Linked DNA regions of Schizosaccharomyces pombe. The gene in region 4 interacts genetically with the main gene of each other region. Each region holds a gene or a part of one and is shown on either strand. Other genes may lie near its edges.

The links.
Region 1: mutations in slx8 (region 4) and chk1 are lethal when combined (synthetic lethality), as found in Schizosaccharomyces pombe (one study listed by BioGRID).
Region 2: of slx8 (region 4) and nup132, a mutation in one rescues a mutant of the other (synthetic rescue), as found in Schizosaccharomyces pombe (2 studies listed by BioGRID).
Region 3: mutations in slx8 (region 4) and eme1 are lethal when combined (synthetic lethality), as found in Schizosaccharomyces pombe (one study listed by BioGRID).

Annotation. Positions count from the first base shown.
Region 1 is NC_003421.2:1,057,080-1,065,714, forward strand, and holds chk1 (protein kinase Chk1), read left to right. Parts: upstream 1-2,716; 5' UTR 2,717-2,940; coding exon 2,941-3,008; intron 3,009-3,053; coding exon 3,054-3,295; exon of another isoform or gene 3,296-3,341; coding exon 3,342-3,770; exon of another isoform or gene 3,771-3,808; coding exon 3,809-4,016; exon of another isoform or gene 4,017-4,062; coding exon 4,063-4,252; intron 4,253-4,297; coding exon 4,298-4,594; exon of another isoform or gene 4,595-4,639; coding exon 4,640-4,696; 3' UTR 4,697-4,905; coding exon of another isoform or gene 4,906-7,116; 3' UTR 7,117-7,364; downstream 7,365-8,635. Other genes in the region: gid1 (putative Ran GTPase binding protein), read right to left, coding at 1-112, 160-801, 846-1,110; ubiquitin-conjugating enzyme E2-C Ubc11, read right to left, coding at 1,811-1,892, 1,943-2,178, 2,348-2,437, 2,488-2,515, 2,564-2,658; protein Meu27, read right to left, coding at 4,906-7,116.
Region 2 is NC_003424.3:2,774,708-2,782,456, forward strand, and holds nup132 (nucleoporin, WD repeat Nup132), read left to right. Parts: upstream 1-2,580; 5' UTR 2,581-2,663; coding exon 2,664-2,847; exon of another isoform or gene 2,848-2,903; intron 2,904-2,911; coding exon 2,912-6,216; 3' UTR 6,217-6,346; downstream 6,347-7,749. Other genes in the region: etf2 (electron transfer flavoprotein alpha subunit), read right to left, coding at 1-38, 111-221; tRNA 2'-O-methyltransferase Trm13, read right to left, coding at 633-1,376, 1,428-1,464, 1,544-1,869; serine/threonine protein kinase (CK1 family) Cki3, read left to right, coding at 6,709-6,843, 6,910-6,979, 7,040-7,188, 7,262-7,749. UniProt on the Schizosaccharomyces pombe protein: Functions as a component of the nuclear pore complex (NPC).
Region 3 is NC_003424.3:3,295,337-3,302,911, forward strand, and holds eme1 (Holliday junction resolvase subunit Eme1), read right to left. Parts: upstream 4,578-7,575; 5' UTR 4,532-4,577; coding exon 4,445-4,531; exon of another isoform or gene 4,389-4,444; coding exon 4,297-4,388; exon of another isoform or gene 4,213-4,296; coding exon 2,184-4,212; 3' UTR 2,006-2,183; downstream 1-2,005. Other genes in the region: glycerophosphoryl diester phosphodiesterase Gde1, read left to right, coding at 1-2,005. UniProt on the Schizosaccharomyces pombe protein: Interacts with mus81 to form a DNA structure-specific endonuclease with substrate preference for branched DNA structures with a 5'-end at the branch nick. Typical substrates include 3'-flap structures, D-loops, replication forks and nicked Holliday junctions.
Region 4 is NC_003423.3:1,287,221-1,293,208, reverse strand, and holds slx8 (SUMO-targeted ubiquitin-protein ligase E3 Slx8), read left to right. Parts: upstream 1-2,997; 5' UTR 2,998-3,248; coding exon 3,249-4,058; 3' UTR 4,059-4,194; coding exon of another isoform or gene 4,195-4,973; 3' UTR 4,974-5,010; downstream 5,011-5,988. Other genes in the region: U3 snoRNA associated protein Dip2, read right to left, coding at 1-2,645; AP-endonuclease Apn2, read right to left, coding at 4,195-4,973, 5,011-5,803. UniProt on the Schizosaccharomyces pombe protein: Mediates ubiquitination and subsequent desumoylation/degradation of sumoylated proteins and proteins containing SUMO-like domains. Acts as a critical suppressor of gross chromosomal rearrangements (GCRs) during normal cell cycle progression.

The DNA.
Region 1 (8,635 bases), on a different chromosome or scaffold from region 4:
AATCTTAAAGACATAATAAGGTCAGGGCATTCCTGGATAGCAACTGGATATTGACAGTCGATTTTTGTCATAGCAAGGTCGAGCTGGCCATTAGCAAGCATAGAACTAATTTCTAATAAGTGTCAATGTCATATTGTTCAGTAAAAAGCGAAAATATACCTTTTCTAATACTTGCGTCAGAGACTTCGGTGTTCTCTGGGCAAAACTTCTTGGCGGTTTCAACAAATCCATTATTGAGCAGAAACGATGAAATCAGCTCGTTTAGAAATTCTTGACGCTGTTTTAACTCTTCCTGCTTTGGTGACTTAGTTGCCTGTTCAAATAATTTGTTTTTCTCCATTTGAATAGCATAATCAATGTCGTAAAGAAATGGGTTCTGTCCGAAATTAACCTCAACATGTTCACCATGACTTTTCAATCCGATAACAGGGTACAAAACGTCGCTGACTTTCTTAAATGCTACACCCAAATAGGCACCATTTTTGGTGTAGAAAATTGTCCTGTTGATAAAATTAACTCCACAGCCTATAATGTCACCAGTGGTAAATTCAGGTCCATAAGCTTCACCCGTTTTAGAGCAATTAAATTTCTCACCACTGTTTCCGTGGTATCCCCAGCTTTCTGCTGTACAACCTGGAAGCCTATTAGTTTGCATGCTCTTCCGACAAAATCCAACACCCATTTTTCCCTCTTTTCCTCGAGATAAAATTTGAATTTCATAATAGTAGATAGAAGTGTTTGATGGAATTGCATGATCAGCTTTTACAGACGCCGCATCATGTTCAGTGCCGGCTTCAGGACCTATTAAAGATTAGTTATAAACCATTATAATTAATACAACGAACCAAAGAAATAAACCCCCATGTTGTTATTCATCAATTCTAATGAATCTGACTTATCGTTGGGATTCCATGAAGATGGAATGGCTTTCGGCGTATTTGTTACATTGCCCTCCCTTGTCATGTCAAACTCTCGTAAATACTTCTCCCATTTCAGCCATCGTGGGTCACTTCTAAGCACATTTTCTCCGTAATTGGTTCCTTGTAAATACAAGGGGAGATTGTCGAAGTTAATCGGCTGTTTTTCAAGATTCTTTGGTGTACTAGTCATTCGCAGGTATGCTCTTGGTAGCATATAAACAGCCAGTTTTAGTAGCTTATTCAGCTATCAGTTTAAATGTTCAATTTTCTAATCAGTTTTTCTTTTGTAATTAAATACAAATCTTTTGTAATAATAATTGGTAAAACTCTTAAATTTTTAAATGACGTGTAAATTTCAGCAACTCTATAAAATGCTCTGAGACTGAAAAGATACTTCACTATACGGCTTCATAAGGATTAAAGGCTCAAAATTAGAAATACAAATATTAGGCTGTATATACAGTCCTATTACTAATCAGAAAAAAATTCAGGCACAACATAACATTGATACTTGTCTTGCGATAATACATAACACAATGACATTGAGAATCAATAATAATAAAATAGTATTATAATCTAACGGAAAGCTAAAAAAACGACTGCATTAACGGAATGCATTAAACAAGAATAGCTTTAATCGAGCATCATAATAACAACTTCAACTTCTGGAACTAAATAATGATAGACGGTCCTTAAAAAACCATTCGGTGGTTTTCAGGAGGTTGTGGCATTGCATGAAGGAATTGCTTAATCGATGAGATGAAATAATTTCAACTTCCATTATCAATGAAGAAAGTTTAACTAAAGACATTTTTTCAAGCATTGAATAGGAAAAGAAAATCCATATGACTAAACAGAAATGAAAATGAGTATGAAATAGACCGGCCTAACTAAATTTCATCGATTTCTTTATATCTCTGCATTAAAAGACGTTTGTACTCGATAGGGTCTTTACTCCACAATTCTGCAGCTCTAAGAATTGTTAATAATCAAAAAAGGTAAATGAGATATTTTCAACATACTGAGCATTCAAGGGAGAAGCATTGTTTGGCTCACCCAGCAGACTTTGTAGAGATAACAAAATTGTCTGTACGTTATAGACTGCTGACCATTTATCTTTTAAAATGTCTAAACATATGTTTCCACTCATATCGACATTGGGGTGCCACATTGGTGAAGTAAAAATGATAGTTGGAGGGGAATATGGGTAATTAGCTGGAAATGACATTGAAATTTTAAATTTCAATCCTTCATAGTACTATTTTCGTTACGTTAGTCGTATGAAAAAGAAGAAAGAAGAGTAGACAGTTATGAAAATGTAATGACAAAGATGTGTATTAATTTTCCATTAAAGTGCAGCTACAAGTAAGCACACCAAGCATTATTCATATACTTTAAATATTAAGCTTTCAAAATAAAAGTCATACCGTATCGCTTGGGCCGGTAATTGTGCCAGCCCAATGTAGCAGGTTAGAATCAGAATCTGGAAACGCACTAATTCCAGGAGTATTGGACATCTAGTCATAAAACCCTAGTTAATAACAAAGTAAAAAAGCTTATTACAAACCATTAAACTCATTAATTCGCTTCTCAATCTACAAATGCATTAGAGACTTTTTTCCTAAAAACTGTTTATTTTTTACCGTTTTGTAACGCTATGACCGTCAACAGCCATGCCAGCAGAAGAAGAGTTTTTAGAATTAGTATGAGGGTTCTGGTTTTGCATATCAGAATCCATTCCTCAAGTTGTTACTGTAGTTTCTCAATGAGTACGTGGTGGTAGGAGAGTAAGTTATAAACACAACACAACATGTGCTAATGTACACAAGTAAACGAAAACCGGATATCAAATTATAGTCCAATTTTATATCATTATATAGATTTAAAACTCATTTAAAAATTACCTTAATTTAATCTTTTCCAGTCTTTGATGATGTTAAGACTGTAAATAATACACATGCCAAAATTTGCAACATATGCTTGTGTTATATTATAATCTTCTTTCCCTTTACACCAAAGAATGGCTCAAAAATTAGATAACTTTCCTTACCATATTGGTAGAGAAATAGGTACTGGGGCTTTTGCTTCGTATGAATTTTGATTTGAAAAATACTATATACTAACTTAAGCAAGCGTCCGTTTATGTTACGATGATAATGCTAAAATATATGCTGTCAAATTTGTCAATAAAAAACATGCTACTAGTTGTATGAATGCAGGGGTATGGGCTAGAAGGATGGCTAGTGAAATACAACTTCACAAACTATGCAATGGACATAAAAATATCATTCATTTTTATAATACAGCAGAAAATCCCCAATGGAGATGGGTAGTACTTGAATTTGCTCAAGGTGGTGACTTATTTGACAAAATAGGTGGGTGCATGAACCTTTCGTTTTTACTAACGGACTTACAATTTAGAGCCTGATGTAGGTATTGATGAGGACGTCGCTCAGTTTTATTTTGCTCAACTTATGGAAGGTATTTCCTTCATGCACTCTAAAGGTGTCGCGCATCGAGACTTGAAACCTGAGAACATCCTTTTAGATTACAATGGTAACTTAAAGATTTCAGACTTCGGCTTTGCATCTTTATTTTCCTATAAAGGTAAAAGTAGGCTTTTGAATAGTCCAGTGGGTAGTCCACCATACGCTGCTCCAGAAATTACACAGCAGTATGATGGTTCAAAAGTTGATGTCTGGTCCTGCGGTATAATTCTTTTTGCTTTGTTATTAGGCAACACACCTTGGGATGAAGCAATTAGCAACACTGGTGACTACTTGCTTTATAAAAAACAATGTGAACGCCCGTCTTACCACCCATGGAACTTGTTGTCTCCAGGAGCCTATTGTAAGTCCTGACTGAAATTCCTTTAAACTAATGATCAGCGATTATCACCGGAATGCTTCGAAGTGATCCATTTAAGCGCTACTCTGTCAAACATGTTGTACAGCACCCATGGCTTACCTCAAGTACACCATTTCGAACTAAAAATGGGAATTGTGCCGATCCTGTAGCATTGGCATCAAGGCTCATGTTGAAACTTCGTATTGATTTAGATAAACCACGTCTTGCCTCATCTAGAGCATCTCAAAAGTAAGATCTTGCACAGTTGTTTCATATTTCTAACTCTTTCAATTAGCGATAGCGGTTTTTCAATGACACAGCCAGCTTTTAAAAAAAATGACCAAAAGGAGTTGGATCGTGTAGAAGTTTATGGCGCCTTATCCCAGCCAGTACAACTTAATAAAAATATTGACGTTACTGAAATCCTTGAAAAAGACCCCTCATTGAGTCAGTTTTGTGAGAATGAAGGTTTTATTAAAAGATTGGTATTATTTATTTAAACCTAAATTTTTTCTAACTATATGAAAAAGGCCAAAAAGGCTAAGAATTTCTACGAAATTTGTCCTCCTGAAAGACTCACTAGGTTTTATTCTAGGGCGTCGAGAGAAACCATTATAGATCATCTTTATGACAGTCTACGACTACTTGCAATCTCAGTGACTATGAAATATGTTCGAAATCAGACCATCCTTTATGTTAATTTACATGATAAACGGAAATGTCTCTTGCAAGGTGTTATTGAACTAACTAATTTAGGCCATAACTTAGAGCTTATAAACTTTATAAAGCGTAATGGGGATCCTCTTGAATGGAGAAAATTTTTTAAAGTATGTCTTTATCATAGGGATTTCATATACTAATCCATGTGAAAGAACGTTGTCAGTTCAATAGGGAAGCCGATTGTTCTTACAGATGTTTCACAAAATTAATTGCACATCTTTTGAAAGGTCGTGCCAGTTCGTTTGTAAAAGAAACCTGTTGTTTGACTTCGTTGTGAATTTATTTTCAATTTTGTGGTAGTACAAATGATATCCTAGGGAATAGGATTATTAACGCTTTGTCAAGCAAATATCAATGGTTGCGAATGCTGAAGATATATTATTAGCATAAGGATAGTTCTTCCGACTGGCCATGCCGTTTAATACATCATTGTACCCAATATTCTTTTCTCACAATTCTTTCTTCTTTTTCTCTTTTTTAGTGAGATATCTGACGGCTCATTTGATTTTAAAAGGGATAACTCTTCTGAAATAACTCTTTCAAACGATTCTAAAAGGTCTTCATTTTCTTGGTCGGAGTATAAAAACTCATCTTCTTTACAAAATAGTAAAAGGTTCTTTTTTGTGAATTCTTGTCTCTCTTTGGCTTCCAGGTAAGCATGCAAAGGAAAATGTGACATCGATGAACCAGTACTTATCAATGTAGTTATCCATAAAATATCGTCTGGAGTCTCTGCAGACATTAACATGTCTTCTCTTGTAGCCTCATCTACTTTTAAAAACTTCTTTCCGTGAAGTACTTCGGGAAGCTCTAAGAAACAGTTAAAGCCCTCACACACGATATGTAGCCAGCGATGATTTTCAGTAACAACGTATATATCCGAAGATTCAATTAAATGCATCCGGATGTCTCCTATTCTCTTTTCGGCTGCTACTTTGTGAACAGGTGTTAGTTCTCCTAAACTCACCTTTTCATTCACTAGTCGTTCTAATGCTTTCCATAGATATGTTTGGTGAGCAGGAGGATAAAGATCATATAGCATTAGCTGATGAGTTAATACCTTGATGTCCATTATCCCTTTAGACAACTTTAAGTGAAGCCTTTTAATACAGCTGTTCTTGTTTACAAGTGATAGCATATTTTCAAGGCAGCTATTAGTTATTTGAGGTTTCACTAATGTTTTTGATGTTCCATTTTTAGTATCGAAGACATTCATCAAGTTTTTATCTTCGTGCTCAAAGATGGTAATAGTTACTGTAGGTGGAAAAAAGGCTTTACTCTTGAATTGAACATCTTCGATACATATATCTAGGTTATCACAAAAGAAGTTTACCCAAGGAATTTCAGTAGAGCACATGTCTGATACTTGGGCAAATTTGCAAAAGCTTGGGGTAATAACCTTTTGGTCACTGAAAAGAAACTTTGTGCATTGCTGTGACAAGTCGAGGACCCTTTCATTATCTTTTTTTTCTTTTATTGTAGCCTGTTCGTTTCTAGAGCTTTTGGATTCGAGTACACTTTCATATTTCAATTCAGAATCATATATTGGCGATACTTCACTGGAAGCGATGAGGTCGGAATATATAATCTGTGTTTCTTCTAGGTCGGGAAATTCGGTAAAATCTTTTACTCCTTCTATTATGGCTTGTTCATTTTCAAAGCACTTAGATTCGAGTATATTTTCAATTGCTAATTCAGAATCATATATCGGCGATATTTCACTTAAAGTCGTGGATTCGGGATATAAAATCTGTGAAGATAGTGATAAGTCAGAAAGCTCAGAGCTCTGTTTTATATCTTTTAATTCAGCATTTTCTGAGTGGTTCGGTTTGTGGGTACCTTTAGGTGCTGATTTGGAATTATTAATTGGCGCCAATTTGCTCAAGGTTGTAAATCTACAGCTTAGAAGCTGTGGATACCGAGGCTTAAATATATCTTTATCTCCCGTATTGCTTTCTTTCAATAGTGCCCTCTTCGGTTGAGTTAAATGCGAAAATGCCTTTGTTGCTTTTATTGCGGATGTAACCTGACTAATGGAAGAATTTTCGTTAAATTTTTCAGGTTTTGTTTGGTATTTACGAGCTGCCAAATGTAATTTGATGTTACTATTCGTTGAAGATGATATTGATTCCTTTTTATTGTATGCAGCATTCCAGTATTGGGATAAACTTTTAAACGGCGAGCTATTAATAGTTGAAAGTTTCGTCTGGAGTTCTGATTCCATAAAAGAGGTGCCGCCCAATTGCAGTATACAAGCTATGAATGTTATTGGCTTGCTTACGCCGAGCTTGTCGAAAAGGTTATTAGCCTTTGAAGGATTTTGGTTTGAAGACTTATTTTCCTGTTGACTTAAGAAGCCTTCTTCATTTTTTTTTTTTAAAGTATAATTGTTCTCTATTGATTTTGGCTCAACTTGGGGTTCTAATGGCATTTCTGCCATGCTTTCATCGTTATCAGAACCCATACAGCAGAGAGGAGCGCAAATTTTTAGGATCTTTGATTTAAAACTTGTCCAAGAGCTACCAGAGCAGTGAGTATCACATCGGTTACTTTTTCCCTTTTCCTGTATTTTATCAGGACGAAAGGCACCTGATATTTTAATCTCTGGATAAGCAATTTTACTGTTCATTACGAAGTTACTTGGCTCTTTTGAGGCTTGAGTGATTGCCAGTTGGATAACTCAGTAATTAGAGATCGTGTTCAATCTCTTGAAGTGTATACAAAGGTTGGGTAAAACATGTTCAACCTTGGGTTATTTATATTAAAAAACAATTCATTTCGTTTATATTAACACATTGTTTTATCATAACTAATAATTTATGAAATCCCTCACAATAAACAAACATCGAATGATAATTTGATGCTCACCTAACATTTGCTTAAAAAAGTGTTAAGTAAACATTTAATATTACTAAAAGATGATCATTTAAAAATAAAAGCTTTCGCTAACCATTTGCATCCTGGATAAATAGCTCAAATAACAAAGGATTTAGATTAACTGAATAGTAATAATATCCTTAGCTAAGCCTTTGAACTAAGCCTAAATAAACAACACCAATTACTCACTATTTACAATGGATGTTTGACTTGTAACCAATAAGGAGGCAAGATTTACTAAAGACAACCAAGTATAATGTTGTAAACAAAAATAATAAACAAATCAACATTGCTGCAATTATACATTCGAAAAGAATCATTTAACGCAATTCTGAGTTAAAGGAAAATAATGTGTAAATAAACAAACGAAAAAGAGTGGAATACTAGCAACTGTAAATAAACAGAAGTTATTTTTTAGTGATCGAATTATATTGTATTTATGTTGTCAAAAGTTATTGATTCATGAATACCCCCGAAAATATCTTTCTGAAGTAAAAATTTCAGAAAATAGAAAGTGTTTTATTTTCGTTCGTATGTTAGTACGAATATCAAATTTCCAGTTTCATATTGCGTGACCAACACATTATTTATTAAAAATTTTGGACAAGCCAGAACTCGAATCTGGGACCTCTTCCATGCTAAGGAAGCGTGATAACCATCTACACCACATGCCCATGGTTGATTTTTACTCTATGTTAGTCGATTATTACTTCCTTTACTATTTGCTATTATTCTTTTCCAACGCACTTTGATACTACCCACGCTTATCATAGTATACAAATATAACATACATACAAATACAACATACATACATATATGTATATATATATATATTTACTACCACTGCAAATAATTGTTACGCCTTTACTACTGTTGAGTTTTCCTCCGTTTTTTTATTTGTTTTTTCTATTGTTTTAAATTAATTATTAACTATCTTTCTTTTTAGTCCAAATACTCAAAAATACTTCAAACTAGCTTCATTAGTAACATTAACTAACTAAATTTTTTATTCAGTTTTTGTTTGTATATTTTTCAGCACTTAATATTTCTTAAGATAATTATTTTTACAGTTTCCCTCTTCTTTTTTTTTTTTATTTAAATCCGATGCGAAAATAATTAATTACAAACAACAGATAATTAGTAATTACACTTTTGAAAAAAATGAGAACTACAATGGAACAAGTAAATAAAAAAAAAAATTTAATCCAACCAAAATTGCTGATCTCATTTTATTTAAAAAAGTAAAAATGATTTCATTCCAAAAGAATCGT
Region 2 (7,749 bases), on a different chromosome or scaffold from region 4:
ATAGCCTCTTCTACAGCAATATCACAAAATGGATTAATCTTTTCACGATTAGTCAAATATAAATTGCGAATTACAGCAGTACTGAAATGATTACTCTCCTTTCAACATACACTCATTTTTTGCCCCGATAAATCAACAGCAGTCTTAGTGGCATTGATGCGAGGCTTTAACATATAGTCTAGAGTTCGCTTGACTCCTACTAAAATGCGAATTTTCGACATTTTTGCGATATTGCTATGCGGTGGTCAAAGACTGGAATTGAAGAAGGTAGAAAGTTGAATATGAAACCTTCATACATATTCCATATTATTTATTAATGTTGTTAATTTTATACTTTTTAAAAAAAATAGTTTTTATTATTTAAATATTGCACAATTTCCGAGTTTAACTAGTTAGGAAGTTTTTTAATTTTAAGTAAGAGGAAATAATGTCTATCAAAATTTACATATTCCAAACAATTCCAACTTCAAGAGAAATCATGATTGCTAAAAAAAAGTAAAATTTGCTTTAACTATCAGATTGCTATATGCAATCTCACACTTCAAAAAAGTACAAAATAATTCTAGTTTTTTTGAGTGCAATCTTTTCAAATTTAAAAAATTTTCTTACTTTTCTCACGTAAGGAAATTCACTTAGTTGATTCGTTTATAAGCGATGAGTGCAACATTTTCTAAAGTCGTTTCTTCACCAACGTAGTATACGAGAGAAGATTCATAACCCATTTTTTCGCATTCTAATTTTCTCATGTAATTGATAATATGCTTGCACTTCAACCCAATTTTTACGCGTTCCTCATGAGAAAGACCACTGATGTGTGAGTCGGCTCCTCCAGAAGCATGCATATGCTCACGCAAACTGTTTACAGCCCACCCAGTCATCTGTCGTAATATTTGAAACTCTTGTGGATTTGAAATTCCCCAATGACTTAATTGTTCTCTAGCAAAGGTTGAAAGTGTTCTCCATCGGCAATGATGATGACAACAAAGGGCAATTACAAGAGCATTAGGAGGGGAGGACTTTAAGCAATTCAAGGTAAGGTCTGTGGCAGCACCACATAAATGCTTAGAATATGCAAATACAGGTTTACCACTATTCCGAAATTCACTAGCAAAAAAATCGAGTTTCAAATCCTTAATATCAATTTTACACCTTATAATTTTTGGCTCAGGCCAGTTATTTTTGATGCTATCTTTTAATATCCTGCTATCATGCTTCGTTCGATTTGAATCACGATCAATAAGTATATATACGTTTTCTTGTTGGGAGCAGTGCTGAACATATCTTGATAACTCGGCTCTTCCAGCACCGAATTCGTAATATATAGATCCTTGGTTGTCAAAATAATGTAGTTTTTCCATATGTCCTAACAATGATGCCTAAAATGGTTAATGCTTTTGACTGCCGTTAAGAAATCATGTCGAACATACCTGCTGAATTGCATGCTTTTTTTTTGTACCCTCTTCACTGTTAAAAATGAAGTTAGTTTCTACTTTTGCAACCATCTTCTTAATAAAAAGCTAATGAGAAAGCACTTCGTACATACAGTCTTGCATTCATTGCCGGGTGAAACAACACCTTTTTTTGAGGAGTCGGTAAAGAATCACTAATTCTGTTGAACAAACAAATCCATTTTGACAACTCTTCCTTGCTTAAATCGACGATTTCAAAGGAGGAAGATTCTGAAGCATCTGTTGAAGTAGAGATATTTATGTCCTTCTTGTAATATGGATCGGTCCTTTCAACAGGACGCGCGTTACAACGCTTCAAATGATATTCTAAACGATGTCGCACAATTGTATGCTTGTGATCATATGGACAGGGGATTTGTTTTAATTCTTCCTGAGTAAAAATTTTTTTTATTCGTGCCATCAAGTTAGATAACTTTTTAACTCTTAAGTGATATTAGCCTGAATATTGATCACAAAAGTAAATCTTAAAATACAATAATTTTATTTTTCTTGTAAAATTTGGTCTTTTTCAGTCCTTCGGATAATTTACAACACTAATGAAAAATAGCTTTCCGATTCGGCAGTTCAGACACTTCAAAATAAAGTATTTTCGCGTTTTTCTCTTTATTACAGTTGTTTCCAACCCAGTCCCAAACTTTCTACTACTTTTATAGTTTTCTGTACCAGATGTGCGATTTTACGAAGAAATCTGATGTTTCCAACCATTGGCGTGCTCATAAAAAAAATTCAAATACGGAATCATGAAACATTTATATAAATTGATCATGCGTTCTAAAAAAGTAGTTTAAGCTTGACCTTGAAGAACGCAACTACTTTTTAAAAACCTCTGTTTTATACAACATTCCGGGAAAAGACAATATCCTAAGTATCACTTCCTTAAATATACCAAAGCAAAGAAATAATTAATTACAAAAGAGCAAACTGTGTTGACATTTGTGAAAAAAGTGTATATGACATATACACCGATTTTGAAATATTGATATATTGATTTTACTCTGAATTTCTTATCAGTAGCTTAACTATTTAATTCTGAGTAAAAAATAGGAGTCTAAGTAAAGTTCTTTTGATTTCAAACCCTTCTTTGTAGGAATCGTCGACATTCGTCCTTCTCAGAGCCATATTCTATCCCTAAGGGTATTAAGGAGTCAAATAGACGATAACCGCCAGTATCAGTACTGATATCGTCAAATAGTCATGAGTTCTATCCTTGGTAAAAGGAAAAATGAAGAAGTCGTATCTTTTAGCCCTTTGAAACGAATTTCTGTTGAGAAATCGCTTTTGGATAGCACTGCCTATAATAATTCATTGGATTGGCTCAGATCTAAAAATTTCAAGGTCTCGTGTCTACTTAAACATTTTAATTCTAAAATTATCAACGGTACGAAGCTTTTATTTCTTCACTGTGCGCATTACTAGGTAACTAACATCTCTATTCAATTTAGACCATCCTTTAAGTGGATCATGCTACACAGACATCGGTTATGCATTAATTAATTCCCGAAAAGCTTGCTTTATTTTGTCGTATCGTCAAAGCTTGGGAACAGCAGAACCTCCAACTATAACATTTCCGCTACCTGAAGAGGACTCAAATGGCTTTTCCGGGCAAAATGCCTTGACAGCCTTCGTCCCTTCTGATGCTTCTGACAAAGAACCTGGATTGCTGATTGTAATGCCTATCTCTGGTCGTATAGCATATTGGACTTCAATTGGGAATGCTCTCGCTCAATCTTATATATGTCCCCAGGGAATGGAAAGTTTGATAAAGTTACTCCCCAAAGAAAAATGTGAGCATTTATGTTGCTCAAACCCCATGAAGTTCATCATATCTACCAATTTTGGTCGTCTTTTTTCTGTTCAACTGCGCGATCCTGCAGGTCAACCTGACGTTTCTGTACAATTATTTGCTTCCGATATTAGTACTTTTTCTACTATTCTTCAGAAAATGAAGATTTTTAACTACCCTAGCATTCATATCATTGCTTTAAAATCCCCACCACTGTTCTCTCCATACCAACATCTTTTGTATGTCGCTGAGGCATCTGGTTTACTAGAGATATATGATTTGAAGTTGGAAAATAAGCTTGTTTCTGGTATGAATCTGTCTCCTATTTTTAAGCAGGTTTTGAGAGAAGGATGCCCCGATGCAAGCGGACTTGAGGTGTTAGACCTTACTATATGCCCCACAAACGGAAATCTAGTGAGTTTTTTAGTATGTTGGAAAAATTCTATTAATTACCGTTACATGATTATTTCTCTTGATTTTTCTGACATTTCCTCACCCTCGGTAATGAATATTCATCCATTGTATTCATTTTCTTCTAAATCTCTTGAGTCTTCAAAGCTACATTATTCATCATCAGGGAATTCTTTATTTGTGGTTTTAACAGACGCTGTTATTATAGTGCACGTCCAAGAGGATGATAAAGATATTGTATCGAGAACATCATGGGAAGAGGTTATTCGTATGAATACTAATGTCTCTGGCGGCATATTTATGTCTACTTGCTACAAATACGTTTTAGGAAAATACTCTATTCCTACGGAATCATGTTTTATAGCAACCCCTTATTCTGGTATCGCTGAAATAGAAGTTCATAGTTTGGAGCATCCTGCAAATAACGAATCTCTCGTAAAAAGCAAGTTGGAAGAAGCTGTTTTTTACTCCTTCCTTCCTGGTAATCCGATCGATTTTTCCTGCAATTACCTTCGCTCCATCAAAAAGCCTGAACTCGAAAGGATTATTGTCGATCTTGGAATGGACATCTTGAATTCAAGGTCTACTCATTTACCCCCATTATTTGCTTCTTTAATGCAGCATCTGTCCTGTAGGTTAAATTCTTTGAATAATCTTGTCCGGTATATTAGGTCTATGTCACTGGATGTTGATCGTCAAGTACTATACAAGTTGAGAGTAATGGGCGAAAAATGCAATTCTGTTAGATATTTATGGAATACTATCGATACTGAATTTAGTACTGTTAGTCATTCCCTAATTTTTCAACGCATAATTTATAGACTCACTCAAAGTGCTTCGTCGGATAACGCTTTGAGAGAGTGGTTTTTGCATAATATTGAAAGCATTGATCAACTGATAGCGCAAGCACATGAATTTTGCATAGATTCAGGTTCTCGAGTTCAAGAACTTCCATTGGAAGTTCTTGATGTAATTATGGAAGCTAATGAAGTAATTCTGGCAATTCAATCTTCGGCTTTGGCTTATCGCCGTGAGTCCCAGAAGATTTATAAGCTAAGTATTGATACCTTTGGAGAAGAGGTTCCTTGGACGTCAACGCCAGAAACTTTAGTTTTGCTGTGTCGACAGTTTGAACTTACTCGGTCAGCGCTTGTCCAGTCACATCAAGGAACCTCGGATGTGGAGAATACTTTTAAAATAAAGGATAAAGGGGTGCTAAGAAATGTCGTTTCAAATTTAGAAGTACAATTAGTGGCCTTGACAGAGGTTTGCTTTGACGCGTACTCAGAAAGGATTAGATGGATAGAACAACGTTGTGGTAAGGATGCTAGTGAAATTCAAGATGTCAAGGAAGCTTTTGCAGTTAATCGCAGATTTTGGGTTCAAACTTTATCAGATATAGGTAAAGGCAGCAGTGCCATTCGAATCGCTGAAAAATACTCAGACTATCGTTCTTTAGTAGAATTGTGCTATCAACTTTATGAGGACAATGAGCTCACGGATGCACTAAACAATTACCTTGATCTTTTTGGTATAAAATTCGCATTTATATTATATGACTATTTTGTTGAAAATGGCATGGCATTAGAGTTGCTTAATAGCGACAGGTTCAACAAATCTTATTTGAAACAATTTTTTAAATCTCGAGATTACAACCAGATTTCATGGATGCATGATATGAGGTTAGGAGACTACGATGCTGCGTCGCATAGATTGCTACAGTTGGCTACTAAACAAGAAAAGCTGGTTGATAAAAAGGAATCTGAGCTTTCATTAAGTAAATTATTTCTTTATGCAGTTCCATCCAACTCTGGAAATATCAGAGATTTGGTTTTAGTGGAACAAAAGCTTGAGCAACTACATATTCAAAAAATGGTTTCCAAAAGTGTTATGCCAGTCGTTGAACGGCTTCGTTCTCAGGGGAAAAAATACCAGCTTGTAGAAGCTGTTGTGGATGATTTGATTGGTGCCAAGGTAGCGCCTGTTATCGCTCGTCAGGTTATGCAGCGCGTAGTCAAAAAGTTCATTGCCGGACAGGTGGTTGAAGCAACTGAACTGTTGGAGTACCTCAGCTTTTCTTTATACCGTCGAGAGGACCTTGTAGAAGGTGAAGTTACCGACTATTATCTTGCTTTGCGTCTTCTTTTAACCACCAGATTAACGGACGATGCCAAGAGATTTTATGAAAATACCATTTGGAGACGAGCTGTTTTACATGACAACTGGATCCAAGTTTTGGATACCCAGGGTAAAAACGATGCAATTATAGAAACCCAATTCCGAATGTCAGCACTATATCGGACTCTAGAGGCTGTGACCATAAACGGACTTTTTCATGAAGGACTTATCCGACCTGGTTCGCTTTCTTCTTGTAAGTTTGAAGGATATGATCCTCAAAATCTCATTTCTATTTACCCACCCGCTCGCTTTGGAGATGTGACTGAAGTTACCAAAGTACTTAATCGTGAAAGCGTAAAGTTGGATCATTATCTTACAAAAACTAATTTAAATACTTGCTATATTAGTATGTGTTTAAGTTGCGATACGATTTAACCTTTATCTTAATCATACAAACCCATTAGATAATAAAAGAATTTTGGTTAGATAGGTTTCATCCGAGTCCCTTGATCATTGTCAATTTTGTTAGCTAATGAATCTAAAATAAAATTTTGTTTACCACTAACTCAAACTAGAAAGTATACCATTATATCTATTTTCAGCTTTCCAACCTTATACTACGCTAGCTTGGTATATCGGTGGAAAACCCAGTACTGCTTACTTGTCCACTACCAAGTACAGTGTTGGCTGCCTCGGATTCCTCTGAGGTTGTCAACTGTAAACGAAATAATTGAACTGTCACTTTCTTTGTGTTTTTCATGGAATCTTTGTGGATTTTAGCGGCATCTACTTCATTTTTCTACCCGTAACCATCTTTAACTTTCGAGTGCGAAAGACATCAACATTTAACAAACCGGAACGCTCTTTTAATCAAAAACATTTTAAAGAAAACTGCATTTAACATAGTGGAATATTTAAAAGACCATCATGTCAACTACTTCGTCTCACTCCAACGTCGTTGGTGTTCATTACCGCGTTGGTAAAAAGATTGGAGAAGGATCTTTTGGCATGTTATTTCAAGGTGTAAATTTAATCAATAATCAGCCAATTGCCCTAAAATTTGTATGTAATTATTTTTAGAGAGCAATCCAGATTCTCAATTTCAGTACTAACGTTGCATTCTCACAGGAGTCCAGAAAAAGCGAGGTTCCTCAACTTCGTGATGAATACCTTACTTATAAGCTACTAATGGGTTTGCGTAAGTATTCACTATGGTTGCTATACTGATTTTCGTCAATTTCCTAACATTTATCCCTAGCTGGAATTCCGAGCGTGTATTATTACGGTCAAGAAGGCATGTACAACCTTTTGGTCATGGATCTTCTAGGACCTAGTTTAGAGGACCTTTTTGATTATTGTGGCAGACGTTTTAGTCCTAAAACCGTTGCCATGATTGCAAAACAAATGGTAAGTTTGTAAACGTCTATCCGATTGTTGTCGGATTGGCTTTATGTGATTACATTTTAACAGGGTTAATCAGATCACCCGTATTCAATCTGTTCATGAGAGACATTTTATTTATCGTGACATTAAACCAGATAATTTTTTAATCGGGTTCCCTGGAAGCAAAACCGAAAACGTTATCTATGCCGTCGATTTTGGCATGGCTAAGCAATATCGAGATCCAAAAACTCATGTTCATAGACCGTATAATGAACATAAGAGTCTATCTGGTACTGCACGTTATATGTCTATCAACACACATCTTGGTCGTGAGCAATCACGAAGAGATGATTTAGAATCCATGGGACACGTTTTCATGTATTTCCTTCGAGGTAGTCTTCCCTGGCAAGGGTTGAAAGCTGCTACAAATAAGCAAAAATACGAAAAAATTGGTGAAAAGAAACAAGTCACTCCTTTGAAAGAGCTATGCGAAGGATATCCAAAGGAATTTTTACAGTACATGATTTATGCTCGGAATTTGGGTTACGAAGAAGCTCCAGATTATGACTACCTACGAAGTCTGTT
Region 3 (7,575 bases), on a different chromosome or scaffold from region 4:
AGCTACTGGACTTTCCGAAATTGTTTCAATTTTAGTTGCCTCGGGCGCTTCGGTTGACGAAGTTGATTCTTCAGGTTGGACTGCTATGGAACAAGCTGTGGTTCGGGGGTATTTACACCTAGCAGATAAACTTAGAACTCAAGTCGCCTTGAGTGATAAGCCTGTTAATTTACATACACTTTATATCAAAGCCTCAAGTTCCGAAATGAGGAGCAGAAAACGTGCCATGGATTTACAATTATCTCGTTCAGTGGTCATTATTCGAATCAGTGATTTGGCCGGTAGAATCCGCGTTAGTCTTCAAGGTGATGATGCTGTGTATGTTTCAGGGCGGTCTCCATCTTTTGCCGCAAGTAGACCATCTTCAGTAGATTTCATGTCTCAATCTACTGACTCGTTGAGTAAAAACGACACTACTGCTTCTAATGGCTCTATGACACCATCTTCTAGCCAAAACAACTCAGTGATTATTGATATCCCTCGCTCCCATTTTGATAATGCCGGTGAAGTTTGCTTAGAGAATTTGGCGGAGCCTGATGAAATTGCCGACGACTCTATTCATTTGCATTATGATGCCGCACAAGAAAATAGTCCGCAACCTGTAAACGGGTCTTCTCCACCGTATGAATTGGTTTTCGTTACAAGAAATACAGAAGAAGCAACTATTACAATTGATTTGTTAGCAAATCGATCCCATAAAATATTAGGGAGAACTGTATGTTGCTTGACTTCTCTGGTATCTGATTTGGGGAATCATATGCAGTCGTTGAAACCTTTGGCACCCTTACCATTACTTTCGAGTAAAACTCTTAAACCAATAGCTCATGTTAATGCGGATGTTCTTATTTCTAAGGTGACAGTTGATGATAGATTTTCGTCAAATGATGGCATAAGTACCCCTGCCTTATCGCTGGAAGCAGTTTCCAACGTAAGTCGCACTGCATTGGAAGACGCTGAGCGTTCTTTACACAAATCTGCCACAACTACATCAGAATCAGGGAAATCGAATGGTGTTGCGGTTATCGGACATCGTGGACTTGGTAAGAATCAGCCTGATCGTTTGAGTCTTCAACTTGGCGAGAACACTTTACAATCGTTTATAAAAGCGGCAGATCTTGGTGCTTCTTACGTTGAATTAGATGTGCAAATGACTAAAGACATGGTCCCAGTGGTATACCATGATTTTATCGTAAACGAAACCGGAACGGATGCACAAGTGCATTCGCTGACTTTGGAGCAATTCTTAGGGGCTTCCCACTCTCCTTCAGAAGAAATTAAAGATGATGCAAGTGACATTCAGCAGAAGAGACGTCCTAGGGCCTACAGTTCCTCATTTACACCTTCAGGATCACAGGTTAATTTCGGTGAATTTGCTGAAGAAAACGCACGTTTGAAGCCTAAAGTATATAAGGGTAATGCCCTTGGTCATACGATTTGTGCACCGTTCACAACTTTAAAGGATGTTTTGAAGGAAGTTCCACAATCCGTAGGACTTAATGTGGAATTTAAGTACCCCATGCTAAGTGAAGCTGAGGAAGAGAAATTGCTCCCTATAGCTTATGATTATAACTTTTACGTGGATACCATTCTATCGATAATCAAAAAGTATGGTGGTAAAAGAAAGTATATTTTCTCTAGTTTTAATCCTGATATATGCATCTTACTTTCTTTGAAATCGACTAATCCTGTTCTTTTTTTGACTGAAGGAGGTACCGCTTACCGAACAGACGTTCGTGCAGCATCGCTTAGACAAGCTTTAAAGTTTGCCTCACAGTGGAGTTTTCTGGGTATCGTTAGTGCTTGTGAACCGCTCATTATGTGCCCGAGGCTGATCAAGGCAGTTAAACAATTGGGTTTATCTTGCTACACCTATGGTGTTCTCAATAATGATGTTGACAATGTCCGACGCCAAGTACGTTTTGGAGTTGATGCTGTCATTGTAGACAATGTGTTAGCCATTAGACGTGCCTTGAACCAGTACGATGAAAGTTTGGAATCTGATTGATCTAGAAAGTTTGAACGAATACTACCGACGATATAGAAGATGAGGTGCTTTAGTTAGAAACCGATATTAGTTAATTTTTAGTTAGAAGAAAGTATATCATAAGAAAATTTCATAGATAGAAAAAAAAAGGAAAAAATATCATGATAACAATTAATGAAATACAAATAATGACCGATCACTATGGTGCATCACTGGATGCTTCTTTACATAAGAAAGTGTTATATATACGGCGCGATAAAACCGGACCTAAATTTCGTTCACTAATACTAGATTGGATGACAACGTTGGTTAATGATTCCTCGCCGTGAGTTTTTAGATGATGAATTAAAGATGGTATACTGTCAAATTGATCGCATATGGCGTTAGCAATGTTAGGTGTAACTCGTAGTATTTGCCGCAACATAAAATTTAGAGAGTTTTCAATTCTATCGGCGGATTTGACATGTCCTATTTCGGTAGTAGAGGCTCTAGCTGAAAATTTAGAAAAGTGCTTGTAACGAGATAAAGCTATGTCGCCGGTAAAGGAAACTATCCATTGAGCGGTTTCTTTTTCGTCATTTGAAGTGTTTATAAGAATACTATGTTCGAAACTGAAGCGGACGATTTCACTCTCTAACTTTTCTTTAGTAAAGTTTTGATATTTTGATAAAGAACCAAATAACAAAGGTCTGGTACCGCTATTAACAGCTGCTGCATATTGACGATTTAATTCTGCTTTCAGAGATTTAAAATAGTTTGGGATGCCTTCCAGCAACAGTATTAGCTTACAGCCTTTAAACTTTTCAGACATTTCATGAAAAAAAGTATCAGCTTGGTCCTCTTCGATGTATTTTATAAAATCCCGGCATTTCAACCGTAGTAGGGCAAAAGGTTCGATTTGTTCATGCTCTATGCTAAGTTCAAACCGGTTGGTAGAAGAATTAAACACATTGTTTACCTTCCTTTTCCACATAATTGAGTCTTTTGGTTGATTTGAATTGACAACGAATTGGCAGTTGTATGAATCTAATTGAGAGCGAACAGTTGAATACCAAGATGAAGCCCAATCATCCGGCGATAAAAGAATTATCTCAGATAGGCATTCTTCTTTGGTTCTCTTAACTTTGTTAATTTTTTGAAGTTCCTTTGAATTCTTTCTGTCCAATTCTTTCGCCATCTTTCTATTCAAGCTGTCAACCTTATCTAAAGTTTTTGATTTTTTCAAAGAATCTTCGTAACGTTTCCTCTTACGTTGTGTATTAGAGTCTAGCTCGTACGGTTCCAAGCTCCTAGAGCATAATTTTCTCATTTTTTTTAATTTATCCAAATTTTTTTTATTTGAATTTGAAGTAGAGGCAGGAGGCGTATCGGTAGTCCTTGAAATTTTGGGTAGTCTCATTTTTTTAAAAGCTCTACTTTGAATGGAAAGTTTGTTTAGAGAAGGAAGTTCTTGAAAACTATCTTCCTGACTAGTATTGGGTTCAATTGAAGAATGCTTGGATGGAGAGGTCGGGCTATCTAAGTGCACATCAGATGTGAGATTGAAAGTTCTTTCTTGATTTTCTACGGAGGTTTTGGAACGGTTATTGATGAGGTCGATTGTATTGGAGCTGTCTTGGTTAGGAAATAAATTAGGCGTAGAAGGGGCATGTGATAATCGATTAGAAGTAGGACTAGCGATGGATGGCATGCATGGCTTTAGTATAGAGGATGAGGATGTTAGTGCATCGTTGAAAGATTTTGTTTTTGTTAGCGGACTCTGGGTAAATGGGAAATGATCGTCATCATTCGTGTCCAGTAGTATATCGTGAAGGGAGTGGGATTTTTGAAGGACTGTGGAGAGCGGCGGGGAGGACTGGAAATCTTTTAAGGGTGAAGAAGTCAAAGAAGCAGCTTTTTTAGATAAAGGGGAAGCCACTTGTTCATTGTCGTCGGGAATAACGATGGGAGAGGAGGTTTTCGATGACAATTGTGTAGTCCTAGGAATGGTGGGAGTATGGAATAAATGAAATTCTTGGTGTTTTGGTTGCGAGGAAAGGGAATTAGGGGGAGAAGAGTTTAAATTAATGATTTCGACGCGTGAAGAAGGATTTAAATTCGTGTTTGTTGACTGGTTTGAAGAAGTTAAAGAGAGCAAAAGATTATCGGTAACCGACTTTTTATTAGTGATATTAAGGGCATCACGGGGACTAGGGAGAACATCTTCGGAGCCGGAAACTAAAGGAGTACTGACCCCAAATGAACGATTAGCGAGATGTGGAAGAAAAGTGTGGAAAGGAAGGAAATGCTGGCAACAATATTTGTCAACTTACCTGAAACTTTTTAGCAAACTATCGCATTGAGTAGATCTTTGAGGAGTATCAAGAACAGTTATAACATTGTGTTCTGACAAAGCAATATTGTCCTAAAAAGAGGGTTAAAAAAAAAGCGAACAGAAAGAAAGGGAAATACGCGACAAACCTTGGAAGGAGAAGCTTGTGAGCTTGAAATGTCAACATCAGCTTCAGAATCGATCACAATAGCGGAATCTGTAGACTGCAGAGTCATTCAATGCATGTGTAGTGTTTGTTTTCCGAACAATAGAGGGTTTGGTGGTTAGGACAGGTAGGGCAAAGTGTACACAAGGAGCCGGCAGGGAACGAGAGTTGGTGACAGAAATAGAGCGAAAAGAAATGAGAAAAAAAAAAAAAAGTTTGAAGTAAAAAATTTAGATAGGAATGGTATTAAAGAGTTTGAATAATTAAAAAGATTGGAGGTTTGCGTGGATGTTTGAGGATATTTGGTATGGAAAGTATAGAGAGTAGTAGGTTTGTTTACATATAAGTATATATAGGTTAGGTGAGAGATGGGTAAAAAATGGAGAAGAGAAATGGATGCAGGAGGAGTTTAGATAAGATGAATAGTATAAAAAAAGGAAAATATTTATTCTTTTAGAAGTAGTTGAAAGGATGTCGTTTTGTGTTTGAGAATTGAAGATTATTGAAATCAATGAGTGGGATGGGTGAGTATTTCTTTTGCAAATACTGTGGTTTAGTGTGTCATTTTGAAAGAATTTTAGGTAGAAGGGCGATACGGTATTTAGGGACTTTGGTAGTACGTTAGAAAGTGTAAAAAGATTGAATAAAATAAAAATTTCAAAGAAAAGAAAATCAATTAATTTAACCAAAATTAAAATAAATTCAATTCAAATTCAATAGAATAAAATACTCTAATATTTAAAGCTCAATAGTATAAAAATAAAAATAAAAATGTACTAGAGTTTCTTTTTCATTAGTCTGTTTCATCAATGATGGTAAACAAAAAAATAAAATAAAATAAAATAAAACAAAATAAAAATGAAAATGAAAATGAAAAATCCTTTGATGCAATGTTTCCAAATGGGTTTATGCTTACTTTTTTTTTGTATTCTTTAATTGATCAACGATACAATGAATGATGAGTAAAAACTTTTTTTGTTTTTACCATGAATACATTGTTTTTCTTTTTTTTTCGGGGGGGGGGGGGGGGGGGCTTTTTTTTCCTTACTCTTCTTTGTCTCTTTTTAAAATTTTCTTTTTCTATTTAATTTAATTTTACTTTTCATTGCAAAATCAATTCTACTTATTAGTTCGCAGTTTAAAACATTTTTTCATTGCGATCTGTGAATTTTGCAACCAAACAAAGAAAGCAGAAAGGCAAGGGTGTAGAGTATAGTAGAGCAGATCAAAGCAAAGCAAAGTAAAGAGAGAGAGAAACCAATATTCGCAAACTGAAATTTCTCCTTTTTTAAGAGGACCAACGAGTTGTGCGAAATTTCCAAATTATTCATAGTAAATTCAACTGCATTATACAAGTATAATCAATACACACTACTATCTTTTATCATTCTTCACTAAACAATCATTAGTAGAGTACGAAAGTCATCGCTACATTTTACTTGTGACCAAGCCAAACCTTTTTTCCTTATAGTCAAGACAGTGTGTATCAAGGCAGCGTATGTGAATAGCAACAGCGTATGTATATGTGTGTGTATCATTGTTCGCTATAGCTTTTTTCTCTTAGTGTCAACGTGTGAGTGTGATAAGTTGTATTTTTACAACGGAAATCCTTTAAATAGACTCTTATACATGTTGATCCAGCAATAAGCCAAAAAAAGTGCAATACGTCAAAAATCGTAGTATTCGGCAAAACAATTGCATTCAGTATGTTTTGATTCTTAAGAGAAAATCTCTTTTTTTCTTTTTTTTTTTTTTTTAATTATAATTCTTGTTTCCTTTCTCGCCTCTCCTCTCTTCTCTCTTTTATCTTTTTCTCTTTTCACCCTATACTCCTTTTGCTACCACGACCATTGTTGCTTCGGTTACGCAGAGTTTATTTTCTTCGGATAGCAGGCGCACCTTTATCTTAACTCCGGGTTTAGTAGCCGGGAGGAATGGGAGAGATGGACGATCAGAGCTCCATCTAAAAAAGTAAAATGCAGCGTCCGATGGGCCGGAAGCGTTGCAGGTCTTTTCGTACGGAAGCATGAACACAGGAGATGAAGGAACATGAGCAAAAAACGAATGTAGACAAAGACAGCGATTCAAATAGAAATTGTATTTGCTATTACTATTACTATTTAACAGTTCTTTACTAAACTATCGCTATTTTATTGTTATCGCTATTGTCATTGTCATTGCTATACTGCTCTTTGTCTACTGGGGGCATCAAGGATCCTAACCCCCATTCTTCAAATCTCTGTCTGGGCTAGGGCAGGCACCAATAACTAGGATAAAGACTAAGACTAAGACTAAGACCAGATAATCCATCGAAGGATATAGCGTTGTATAGTGTGGTGTAATGCAATACGATGGATTCCAAGCTATCAGTCGGATCAAAGTTTTAGATGAGAGGAAGCGATGAAAAGAAAAGAAGAAAGAGAAGGAGAAAGAGAAAAACAAAAAGAAAAAGAAAAAGAAAATAAAATAAAACAAAAACAAAATAAACAAAATAATCCTTCTTACAACATCTTGAAATATTCTTTTGCACTCAGACAAATTTCTTTTACTTATCTTTTATTGGAATTATTTACTGAACATGTCTGATGCTCCCTGGTTTCTTGTCATTCATTACTGCATTTCTATACTATTCTATTCTATTGATCTTTCTTTTTCTCCCATTTTAAATGTTATTATACAATGCTTTTCTTCAATTTACTTTTTTTCTTCTCTTTCATTTTTTCTTTCTCTTCCTTTTTTCTCTTCTCTTGCTGCGTTTCTCTGTTTACTTTTGCGCTCGCCTGCTGCTTCTGCCTCGTCTCCCCTCTGAGTCACATGTCACCCGATCCAAAGTTGAAATTTGCATTGTAGCGGCTTTTGCACGCTGCTTTTCCGAGGATCAGGGCTATCGAGCCTGAACCAACATGGTCGGATTGATTGGCCCGTGGAAAATATTGACTCTTTCGTGATTGGTGGGCTAACGTAATTGATTATCTTGATCGTATCCATACAAAAGCGCAACAAATCCTCCTCAAAAAACCTTTTCTTAGTCAGTCTCCTTTCGCCAGCAAGCAAAAACAAACAGCAAGCTAAGCAGAGCAGTATAGAGCAAAGCAAAGCAAGTAGAGCAGAGCA
Region 4 (5,988 bases):
TTGTAGCCGATGAGAGAACGCTCCTCCTGTAGTGACCCCCTCAAACTACTACGAATATTGTTTAGTAATGGACGCATTTTAACTGTAGTTGTCAACTGTCGGTGATACGTTCTGAGTAAAAAAAAGATTATACGAGAAACGAGAGGAATTGACCATTTTCTACTAGCCCAAATATCAATAAATCGAAAAAGGGATAAGACGTGCTCAAAAGGAAGCACGAGAAGAGCGTCATCTAAGTGGCTACTACGAATTTTTTTGAAAGTATTCAAAACGTACTCCTCAGCTGAAACACCTAAATGGGCTAATATCGGATTTCTCGGTCCACGGGCTTTACCAGGGCTCTTAAGCAGATCAAGTCTGTACTGAATTTCTTGATCCAAATCCTCTATACCTATTGTAATAGCTTCTAAGATCTTTTCTCCGTCTTTTAAGCTTTCAATTGTTTGCTTCGTGACAGCTGCCACGTCTCCGTCTTTAACCTCTCCGTCGGCTTCAGCATTTTCATAAGATGAAACAAGCGTTGACTCATATTGCTCCTCAAGCTCACGTTCCCGTTCTTCTTCTAGAAATACCAAATCGTCACCTTGTTCCCATAAACGTATTGAATGGTCATGGGAGCCAGAAACAACAAAAGTTGGACCAACAGCTAATGCCCAGACTTCAGAGTGATGACCGCGAAGTTTTAAAATTAGATCAAATGATTTACCGTCCCAATAACGAACTTCTCGATCTTTTGAACAAGTAAAAAAGTTGTAAGTATCTGGTTGAAATGTGACTTCCATAATAGAATCTTGATGTGCAAATATAGACTTGTGGCAATCGCCAAAATCAAGACCCCATATTTTGACATTCTTGTCGGCACTGCAAGTAACCAGCAACTTTGAGTCATAAGAAATATCCATAGAGAGAACTGGAAGCTTATGACCATAAAGATTTAAAAAGAATTTCAACGAATCCAAATAGTATACCTTGACGGTATTATCTAATAGTGAAGCAGCAACGAAACGACCATCAGGTGAAATTTTAACCGCAAGGACATCGTCTGTGAAATCTATTTGTCGTGTTTGCTCTAATTTCAACGTGGTGACTTTTCTAGTGGTACCTGGTACGAAATCAAAAGACGATTTTAGAGACCAGAGTTTGACTGTGTGATCGGCAGAGGCAGTCGCGAAGTAAGTGCCATCGTGACCAACCGCTAAATCCCAAATCGCGCCATCGTGAGCTTGGATACGTTCGATAAGAGAAGAGCTAGCAATGTCATAGACTTCAAGTTCTCCTGATTTGTAAGCGGATACGATACACTTGTCGTTATTTATAAAGCTAGCAGCAAGTACATAACCACATTCGATTGTACGGATACAAGATGTGGTTTTCTTGTTCCAAAGCTTCAAAGAGCCGTTAGCACCGCTTAAAATCACATCGTGATTAGCGGACAAAGCCAAGGTACGAACGTCAGCACGATGACCAGGAATTTCAATGGCACTTATACGCGAAGCCCGTTCAGTTAATGGTGCAGCAGAACCTTCAGATTTGACATCCAAAGCGTAAACTTCAATTGAGTTATTTTGAAGAGATGTTACCAACGTAGGTGTACGATTTCCTGGTATCCAAGCTACAGACGAAGCACGAGCAGTGGTTCGAATTAGAGCAAAAGGTTCATATTCGTCTTTTAACGTGATCGAAACGTCCTCAGACTTTTTACGACGGCGTCGTCGATTCAGAATCTTTTCGAGCTCCGCACTTGATCGAAGGCGAAAAACCTCCAGAAGACGGTCATGAGCTTGGAATACAACATAACGGTTTGAAACGTCGTAAGCCAAGGTGATGGGACGGTCACGGCTTTGACGGGTAAAGGTACCTAATTGCTGAAATGCTTTAGTAGTTGGAGTGAAATTATTGTCATCTGGAAAACTGATTTCCCAAACTTTAACATCAGAACCGGTACCAGCAGTGAGGCACCGTTTGGCGTCTGGTGAAACACACATAGCCCAAATTTCGCCTTGGTGGTCGACATGAGTCTCAACGCAATGCTGAATAGACAAATCCCAAAGCTTCATAAAAGAATCTTTGCCAACAGACAAAAGAAACGAATCAGACGATTTACTGTCAACGTCCATGTCGCCGGAATCAATATCTGTGTCCACCACTGTTTCTTCAGCTGTATTCTTCGAAGGAGGTGTAATGAACAAAAGCTTGGTAATTTGGTCCTTGTGTCCACGTAGTCTAAACAAGCCGGTTTCAGCTACAATATCCCATACAATAATGTCGGTATCCATGCTTCCACTGGCCAATCTTGTGCCCATTTTATCAAAATCCATGGTAGTAACAGCACTTTTATGACCATTAAGAGTTATTAAGAGCTCTCCATCTTTCCAAAGACGTATAGAACCATCTGCATAGCCCACAGCGTACATTTCATCAAAGTTTGCAATACAAGTAACTTTTGCCGAACAATCAGAATCCTTCCATTTTGATAGTAATTGCCCAGTCTTTAAATCCCATTCCAAAACAGACTCAAGACCGCCAACAATGGCTCTGCCTACAGATTTAGCAGACGAAGAGGGTTGACCGAGAATATTACATCCCGAAGACGCAATGACACCAAAAAATTCGGTTGGTTCGTACCGCGTATAGCTTTTGACCATTGCGTCTACCCAGACCTAGATTAAAAAAAAGGCGTTGGTTGATGCTAAGTATATACACTCCTCTAATATTCAACAATTTGGAAAAGAAATAGCGATATACATTGTTATCGTTTTTTTATTTTAGCATTCCTTAATGCACTCCATAATACATTTTTGCATAGTTTATGGAATACTCATAATAATGTCGGTTGCGCAGTTTAATGAACTGCATTGAAAAGATTATTGATACACAATTAAGTTTTACCAGCTTTTCTGTTCTCTTTTCTTATTTGAAATACCGCTTGCGCTATTGAATGTGCTCATGAAAAAGGTCATAAATATTAATTAGACTAGCATCTTACAACATTGTGGTAGTGAGCCAATTTTTCCATGTAGACTTCAAAAATCATAGGTCTACTAAATTTAATTTTAAACTTGTTGGCAAGTTGCCAAAATAATTGCTGTTTGCGTATATTGACGTTAACACAATTCTCTTTTATTATTCTAGCAAGCCTGAAAAGCATTTGACAATCGATTAGGATACGATCAAAATTATCCTAATATTAGCCCATTAATCAATAATCTATAAACTATTTTCGAATTTCAGGACCAATTGGCAAAAAAATGCCACCCGCACATAAGAGAGATACCAACGTTAGAAACTTATCTGCACCATACAATATCCCATCTCAATCCGCTAGAGTCGCAGCTGGAAATGCAGCAATAAATAGGAGACGTTCTTCTCCAGTAGAGAATTCGCCAGGAAACGGATTTCCGGTTTCAGAAGATGCAACAGACTATCCTTCAGGCACTACCTCTGAGAATGAGTCTTTACCACTGAATCGTGCACCAAGGTCGCTAAGAGAGGTTGCTTCGGAGCTAGCACAAGAAGAAACACTACCTGTTGAAACCTCTGATTTAAACATAGATGTGGAAAGTGAAGTATTCGACTTGGAAGACATTAATTTTCAGAATGATGCTGATGACATAAATCAAAGATTCACCTACAACAATCATCCAGCTTCCGTTGAAAACAGTTTAACAAATGTTAATAGTATTCACGCGCAACCTACTACTATAAGCGATATGATTGATTTAACTGATGAGACTTCCTATGATCCAAGAAAACAAAAATTTGAACAGGGAAAGAACCCATCGACCACCAACGCCGAAATTGAAAAAGAAGAACCTAGCAAAAAACAGGTTGTTCCATCTTCACAACGACTAGCTGATTATAAGTGTGTAATTTGTCTGGATAGTCCGGAAAACCTATCTTGTACTCCCTGTGGGCATATATTTTGCAATTTTTGTATACTAAGTGCTTTAGGTACAACGGCTGCCACACAAAAATGTCCGGTGTGCAGAAGAAAAGTACATCCAAACAAAGTTATATGTTTGGAAATGATGCTCGGATCTCAAAAAAAGAAATCTTAACCGTACAAAATTCCGTATATACATATTAAGAATGTTAATGAAAGATGTGTGATGCACTGCTCAATGCTTTTTGCGGTTTATACACATCAAAATTGAGAATTGATTAAGAGCAAGTTATGCTAGTCATTACAAATTTTCAGTCCTTTGAATTTGCTCTCCAATCTGAGTCCCAGATAAAGAACCTGCATTGGAACGGTTGAGTATCTTCCTCAGAAACTGCATTTGAGTTTTTAATCAGTTCACCAACCGGTCTGGCACAAATCCAAAACTTCCGCCCGTAATTGATTCCCGGCTTCCTCACTGTCAAATACTTGCAAGGTTCCTTGTGACCCTCACAAAGTGGAGGAGCTCGTTCACTGAATATTTGCTTCCAGGCGTTCCCGTTTTCTACTTTTTTTTTTACTGTCAACCCTATGTCAGATTCATTATTGTTATCAAGGACCTCAATCGAAACGTCTTCTGTTTTATTGGTTTCTTCTTTCTCTTCCTTTTGCTTCGCAAAAAATGAAAGAAGCTTCGATTGTTCTTTTCGTCTTCTCTTTTCCGGTGGGTAGGCATCGACGTCTATGACAGAGTTTGCACGAGAAACAGTTGGTGAGGAGCCGCTGGACGCAGAAGCAGATACGTTTTCGCTCTGAGTGGGTGAGTTGTTTTTATTCTTTTTCATCGAATTGAAATGTTGGAACATTGAATGAATATTTTTTGATGGCCGATAGGCTGAATGATGCGCCGTTGATAGTAAAGGTGGTTCTTTTGAGTGACTTAGAAAGTTGGACAACTTTTTTCCTTCATATTCTTCTTTTAAATCTAAATATACGGGGCAATGATCTGAACCCATGACCTCAGCCATAATATCTGCATCTTGAACCCAAGGTAATAAATCGGGTGTTGCCAAAGTGTAATCAATTCTCGTACCTATCCATTGTAAAAAAAATAACAATTCAGAACTTACCATAATTTGTGGGCCTTGTATTAAGTCTTGTATTCCAACATGTAAACATTCCTTTCCGAGTAGGATGTTGAATACGGCCAATGTCCAACAGTAGTCCCAACCTGCTTGGTAGTAATAAATCACGTATCCATTGTCTTGATTCCATGATGCTTGGAATAAGACTCTCTCGAATAATGTCTTTTTGATCAGCAGTGTCAATAGGATTACACAAAATATTCACATCCCCAACGAGAATGATTTTTCGATTTCCTTCCTTTATCAATCTTTCAATTCTTTCTCGTAAGGCTTTATAAAAGGCCCGTCGATATTCTAGTCTATTTTCTCCAGAGTTTACTGGACAGTAAACACCGATTAGGATGAACATCTGAAAATCTAATAATATACACCTTCCTTCACTATCAATCCAATTAGCAGTTTTTCTGTCAATGTCTTTTGGGAAAAATCCTATCTTTTCATGCTCCGGTGCTTCTGAATATGAATATTTTTGTCCTCGTACTGGCAGGATGCCAGTAATTCCCTCTTCTGCTTTCACTGGAATAGCAACATCTTTTTTTACATAAAATCCAACCCCACTATAGCCTTTTCTGATCTTAGGAAATGTAAAATAACTGTCGAATCCCTCAACAACTGCATATTGTTGAGGAAAGCTGTCTTTCTGCATTTTCAATTCTTGAACACATATTACATCAGCCTGTAACTCTTGAAATATCTCTTTGTAGGAATTTTTTTTATTCCATGGAAAATAATTGAATGGATTCTGTATACCGTTCACATTCCAACTTAGAATTCGCATTCTTATAATTTTTACGTAGAGAAAGTGTGCGAAGGTAAAGGCGACAGACTTTTGAATTTACAATTGTTGACATAAGTTAATCTGATGGAAAATAAAATGCATTTGTTTAATTCGAGAATGAACTTTTTCTTTTCTTTTCGACCTTCTCCCTATTGAATGTTGATTTTCAAAAAAATTCTAGATTG